2 linked regions of the Rattus norvegicus genome follow. Each later gene encodes a partner of the first gene's protein in a complex. Links are inferred from orthologs where the notes say so. Each region holds a gene or a part of one and is shown on either strand. Other genes may lie near its edges.

Region 1 (3,374 bases):
ACAGCCTGTAGCAGGTGGAAGGTGGCAGTTCCCGCACATACTCGATACACAGCCCCAGAACCACTGAGCACTGGACAGTCAGAGTTGCCGAACAGGTGGGCACATAGCACTGAGGGCATCTGGATCTGCAGGGAGTTTGGTTGTGAGAAAAGTAAGGGCAAGCCATAATGCATGGACAGGTCCCAACTTTCCCCTGCTAGGTTGACTCCTTTGCTTCCTGTTCCCAATCAAAATCTTAACAGGTTTTTTTTCCTCATGTTGCAACCCCTGCCCACTTACCCCATGTGCTTTGCCCCAGACCCTTTCTACCACTGTCTTCGAAAGTAGGAGGCAGCAGATTGCTGAGGCTCCCATGTGGAGAAGGATGTAGAACAGGCGGCTACAAGTAGACTCGGTCAGAGAGTGGCAGCCACTGGTCCAAGAAACAGGCCCACAGCAGGACACCTGGGGATAGAGCAGATAGATGTAGGAAGCAATGGGGAGTTTTTCAAAGGGTTAACCAAAGGTCAAATTCCCAAACCCTCCATCCCACTGTCTGGTTATGAGCCACGTAGGATTACCTTCCACAGAGAACTAGTAAGGTTTTCATTGCAAGAACTTTAAACTTCAGTGTATGCATGAACCACTTACTTTTTCCTAATGATCTATGGTTGGGATGAGAGGTTTACCGATTACCCAGGCAAAGAACCAGGTTTCTGTCCCGAACTCCTAGTTTTTTAGCTATCTTTTGCTTAAGATATAAGCAAAGATCTCTTCAAGTCTCTTCCCAAATGTCATCTCACCTGATAGAAGGGGGTTTTCACTACGACATCGCTGACTCCACCGTGCTGCTGTGCAAAGCCCTGGGTGGTGCTACGGCCTGTGATGTCTTTTGCACCCATCAATTTTGGCCCAGAGGTTAGATCCTGTATTGGAAAAACTGATGAGGGACAGCAGCTTCTCAGGATTTTCACCCATTGGACAGTCGCTTTGCTGGCCTAATCATCCGTCTTAAGGCAGCAGCATGGGTTTTTCATAAAATGAATACAGATCACCGGGAAGTGGTAGATGCAAATACTCTTGTGAAGATGCCTTCACAGAGCTTCGGACTGTTTTCTAAGATTAGGAGCAGTTGGCCTATCTGGTCTGGGGATTAGGTTTTTTTTTTTAATTGGTTTAGGATTAGCCACCTTGATTGGACAGAATTCCTTGTGTGTGTGTCTGTGTGAAGGGATTGTTTTTAGGAACAGTGAGTTTGACTGGTGTGGGTAGTGAACAGACAGTCGAAGGAGACTGCAGAAAGCAAGCTGGAGAGGAAGTCAAAAGCGAACCTCTTTCCTAGCTGAAGCTTCTCAAGACAGGCACAAAGGTGTGGTCCAGCCCCTACCCCGCCCCTTATCTGGGCGGAAGCTGAGCGTTGCCGGAAGTTGTGAAGCGGCAGCCTATTGCGGCGGCGCGGTGAGATCGAAATGGCGACCGAGGGAGACGTGGAGCTCGAGTTAGAGACTGAGACCAGCGGCCCTGAGCGGCCTCCCGAGAAGCCAAGGAAACATGACAGTGGTGCTGCTGACCTAGAGCGGGTTACTGACTATGCGGAGGAGAAAGAGATCCAGAGTTCGAATCTTGAGACGGTGAGGTTGGCTGGGAGCTTGTATGAGAGGGGTTGAGAATGGGGCGGGAGTGAGGAGAGACTGACTGGTTTTGCTGCTCACCGGGGCTCCGGGACCCCTGATAGTCATAGTGGGATTTGGCAGTAGGGCGAGGCTAAGCGACAGCACTCAACCAGTCTGCGGTTTACTTAAGAATTTGATAAAAATGGGACCTAAATGTATCTCAAGGGCACGGAATGAAGCGTAGTCTTTTGGTCTTGAGAAAACTAGTAGTTGTGAATACCTGAAAAGCCACGTGGCTTTTATTTGTGGTGTTGTGTTTTAGATGGGAAAATTTGGGTCGCATGGTGGTAGGTAATTAGACTTGTGTTTTCTACAGGCTATGTCCGTCATTGGAGACAGACGGTCCAGGGAGCAAAAGGCCAAACAGGAGCGGTAAGTTTAAAGCCAGCGCTACCAGTAGGTCCTCCTTCTCCAGGGGGGGAAAGTTTTAATCTTTAGCCAACTCCTAAAGATCTAGGGGTTACAACTTTGTTGTTAGTGGAAGGAAAGGTTCCTGGATATCTTAATGTAAAACTTCCAGGGGCGCGTTTATTTGCTATTTTCAGTCAACCTGTTCTACTCATTTTCAGTGTGTACCTGTGAGTGTTCCTTCTGGGAGTTTATAGCAGAGGCAGAGAATGAAAACAAATGTATATATTTACAGGGAGAAGGAACTGGCGAAGGTCACTATCAAGAAGGAAGATCTGGAGTTGATAGTGAGTAGTAATGCTTTAATGGATTCACAAGAGAAGTTCTACCCACGCTGGGTTCCTTAAACAAGTGGAGCCAAAGTTTGTTGTAAAATTTATGCCTGAGAAGAGGCTTCAGTGACGTGATTTTCCCTCTTGCAGATGACAGAAATGGAGATCTCTCGAGCAGCAGCCGAAAGGAGCTTGAGGGAACACATGGGCAATGTGGTGGAGGCTCTTATTGCCCTAACCAACTGATAAAGTGTGTTTAGACATTCTGGACTGATTTACGGAAATAAAGTGTTCTGTTTTGCTGTTTTTTTTTTTTTTTTTTTTCCAGTTTTATCCCAGATCAAATGCATTATATATCCTATTTTATTGTCAGTTTCTATGTTGGACCTTGATGAAACCGTATGAACAATCAGTGTAAAGAAGTACCTAATGTTCAAATACAGGCTCTGTTTTTATTACCCTTATTCTGTGTGTGTGTCTAGGCACTCTCCTGCCATAGTGTTTCTACCATATGGGAATGGAATTCAAGTGCCCTTTTTCACTAGGTTATCTCCCCAGCTCTAAGCAGCAGATTCCAGGTGGTATGTGAGTTTCTCTCATCTGACTAGCTCGCTCTTGCCAATATAGAGTACATTTGGATCCTCTGCAAAAGATCCACATGCATGTTTCTAGGATAGCTTATGCTATCTGTTTTTCTCAGATCGGTTCTTTCTGTATAAGCCAGGCTGTTTTCAAGCTCAGATCCCCTCCCTAACTTGAGAGCTGCTTCATTCAGCTACCCTTACCAGCTCTTCAAGGCTATGTTAGGAATAGCGAGACTAGCTCCTGTTTATAAGCAACTGGAATAAACATTCAGGTTCTAGAAAGGGAAACATCATTTATTAAAATGTTGGATCAGGGCTGGAGCTATGACTCAGTAAGTACCTGCCTCAAAAACAAAATGAGTTTGGATTTCCACTAATGCCCTAAAAACCCAGGAGTGGTGGGATGCTCCTGTAACCATGCCCTGGGGACTGTGCTGAGACAGGCAGCTGGGACTCAG
Region 2 (3,015 bases), on another chromosome or scaffold:
GATTAAAGGAGTGTGCCACCACTGCCTCACAGCAAATATAAAATATTAATGGAGGAGTGGTTCACGCCTGTAATCCCAGCACGTTAGAGTCTGAGGCAGGATTGGCATAGGTTTGAGGCCAGCCTGGGCTACATAATGAGTTCCAGGCCAGCTTGGGCTAAGTAAGAGATCCTGTTTCACAAAAAAATTTTTTAAAAGGCTACAGATAGGAAAAGCCTGAGCAACTGGGTAACTGAATAGGCCAGGATCCAGCTAGGATCTCTCCAGATAAGTGCAAAGAGGAGTTGGACTTAAGCACTTGGGGTCCAGGAGGTATAAACTGGAGCTCCTACTGATGAGAGAGCAAGTATGACTAGGAGTAAAGGGCTGAGAGGGTAAAGCAATGCAGCAAAGAACATCAAGGTAGGGGAGCTGCCTCTGAAATGTGAGGCTGAATAGAAAACCCAAGAAATCATTTTGTTCAGCCCTAGAAAATTACTAAAGATGTTACAGAGATCTGTAGAAGGCCAGGAAAGTGACATGAGAATATGGCACCCAAGACAGTTTATCTGCCAACTCCAACTCAGTTGTTGAAGGAAGCCAGATTGGGGTCCCATCCTCAAACATTTGACTTGTGAGCTCAGTACGCTCTGGGCTGTGAAGATAGTATCCCTGCCATATAGGAGCTGGAAAAAAAGCATACCCCACTATGCACATTCACAAATTTCCCAAGGCCACTGGGTGACATTTATTGTAAAAAGCACATGGGGTGAGGTTGGGACCAGGTAGGGCAGGTTCTAGGAGGCAGAATCAGAGGCCTCTGAGCTGTCTTTGACATCTGTGCTTTCTGTGGTCTCACTGACCTCACTGAGGTCCTTGCTGTCCCCACCACTATCCTCAGCAGTCAGGCCCTTCTCCTCACGACAGGCCTCTCCTGAGCTCAGAAGCACGTTGCCTTTGTTCTCCGCCTTGTTCTCCATGGCCGACAGCACCATGTGCCTGCCCTTTTCCTTCAGCTCCAGGTGCCGCCTCAGCTGCCGCCGGGAGCCCAGAGGGAAGCGGGTGGAAAGAGACAGGGCCTAAGTCTCCAGACAGGAGACAAGAGGAGCCAGGCCCTGGGGCTGGCTGGGGGAAGGGACACAGTGAGAAGTGGTAGGGCCAAGGCAGGAAATAGGACTGGGTAGAAATGTAGTTCAATCCTACCTCTGTCCTAAGCCTGCTTCATCTGTAAAATGACATGAGTTCTATTGCCCTCAAATACGCTGCTGGGAAGCCCCCAAGACAGAGCAGTGCCTTTCCAGGAGGCTTGGTCAGAGAGACCCTTTCTCCCTAGCCCAGTTTAATCCTAGATCTGAGCAGGCTGCCCCCAACCATAGTAGTCCCAATTCCTCTGTTAAAAAAAAAATCTTCCTACTGTCTCTCCTATTCCACCCATCTCCAGACTTCTTCCCCAGAAAGCATCCCATGGCCTCCTTTACAGTCAATGAAGGCCATGCCCTGACTTGACAGCTTAGGGAGTAAGGGAAAGAGGGGCTCTGATTCCTAGCTTTACAACCACAAAAGCTGACACTCAGTCTCGGTCTTGCCTCTAGTCGCCACTGCCTCACTCTGTCTCACAGCTCTTTGACATCTGTACTTTCTGTGGTCTCACTGAAAATAGACACCTTTCCCAATTACAGAATCTCCTCTACTGCTGGAATTGCTGCCCTGGCCTGGCTGAACTCTTACCTCATCAGCCATCTGCGTGAGGTCCCGCTTCATTGCATATGCATCTTCCCCATCTGCATAGTATTTGGGCTCCACTTCGCTGATCCTGGGGGTAGGATCAAGACACATGCCTAGGGGCAAATTCTCCAGGTTCTTAGGCTACTGGGGTAAATGTCATCTCCCCCTGTAGGACCTTTGTAGAGGCAAAAAGCCAGTGTAAATGGGTTTCTCCTTTTTGTTTTTCATTTGACTGGATTCTTGTTCAACAGCTATGATAGTTTTCTCTGCTCTTCAAGTAAAGCCAAATAGCATGTAGCATCCAGGGCACTTCTGATTCCTAGACTTGCTACCACTTTGTCCCTAGCCCAACCATCAAGGACTTGTGTATTGAGTTGAAGTCCTTAATTCTGCCTTCCTCTCCCTGACCTGCTCCCTGTTATTTACTGAACACATAGTTCCTCTGCTAGGAAAGAGGGACACTGTACCTGCATGTAGATGGTCATCATAGACAACCTGGTTACTCACCAGATGGATGAGGGGAGGGAGGTGTGTGTGCACAATTAAGTATCCCTGACACTGGAAGAGAAACCCGTTGATGACCTAGGAAGGTTCCTTGCCAGTCTTTAGGGATACATGCTGGGTAACTTCCTCAGTTGCTTTCCATCTTATTTTTTTCAAAATAGGGTCTCTTACTGAATCTGGAACTTGTCCATTCAACTAGGCTTGTTGATTAGTGAACCCTAGGGATTCTCTTGTCTTAACCTCTTCAGCACTAGGATAATAGGTACAGGGCACTGTATGTGGCTTTTATACATGAGTGCCAGGCATCAAACACAAGTCCTCACAATTAAGCTATCTCCTCAGCACCCATCTTTTGAGACAGGGTCTTGCTATGTGGTTGAGACTAACCTGGAACTCCCTATGCTGGGACTGCAACCCACAGTCCTCCACTTTGAGTGCAGAGATTAAGAGACATGTACTACCATACCCAGCTGGGAACTGCTGACTTAGCAGGTAAAGCAGTTCCTGCCACAGAGGCATCTTAACTAGGTCAAAAGTCCCTCCATGAATATGGATGTTGAACCCAGAAAAGCTGAAGACCACCATCCTGTTCCAATGGTGTCATCTTCACTGGACCCCCTCAAAGTCTAGTGTGGCTCAGTGGTTCCTCAAGTTAGTCTATTCGAGCCTCACTTTCAAGTGGCACTAGGTACTACTAAGTCCTCTCTTCATAGAGATGGTCATGTCCAGAGTCCTGCCCTCAGCCATCAGAAACACTCAGAGCAATAGGTCCCTCATTGCTTTTGCTCATGGCCCCCTTTCCTTGCT

The links.
Region 2: the proteins of Hypk (region 1) and Naa10 are in contact, whole or in part, in a crystal structure (PDB 6C95), measured with the Homo sapiens proteins. The link is inferred for Rattus norvegicus from reciprocal best matches to the Homo sapiens genes HYPK and NAA10. Residues at the interface, in NP_057484.4 of Homo sapiens: Lys27, His28, Ser30, Gly31, Asp34, Leu35, Arg37, Val38; in NP_003482.1 of Homo sapiens: Glu24, Tyr26, Lys29, Tyr30, Tyr33, Lys59, Glu134, Lys136, Tyr137.

Annotation. Positions count from the first base shown.
Region 1 is NC_086021.1:128,887,294-128,890,667, forward strand, and holds Hypk (huntingtin-interacting protein K), read left to right. Parts: upstream 1-1,423; 5' UTR 1,424-1,448; coding exon 1,449-1,610; intron 1,611-1,968; coding exon 1,969-2,024; intron 2,025-2,295; coding exon 2,296-2,347; coding exon of another isoform or gene 2,348-2,355; intron 2,356-2,482; coding exon 2,483-2,578; 3' UTR 2,579-2,796; downstream 2,797-3,374. Other genes in the region: Serinc4 (serine incorporator 4), read right to left, coding at 1-125, 280-444, 783-881. UniProt on the Homo sapiens protein: Component of several N-terminal acetyltransferase complexes. Inhibits the N-terminal acetylation activity of the N-terminal acetyltransferase NAA10-NAA15 complex (also called the NatA complex).
Region 2 is NC_086039.1:156,806,689-156,809,703, forward strand, and holds the end of Naa10 (N-alpha-acetyltransferase 10), read right to left. Parts: intron 1,880-3,015; coding exon of another isoform or gene 1,861-1,879; exon of another isoform or gene 1,846-1,860; intron 1,818-1,845; coding exon of another isoform or gene 1,805-1,817; exon of another isoform or gene 1,793-1,804; coding exon 1,708-1,792; intron 1,105-1,707; coding exon of another isoform or gene 1,014-1,104; coding exon 777-1,013; 3' UTR 690-776; downstream 1-689. UniProt on the Homo sapiens protein: Catalytic subunit of N-terminal acetyltransferase complexes which display alpha (N-terminal) acetyltransferase activity. Acetylates amino termini that are devoid of initiator methionine.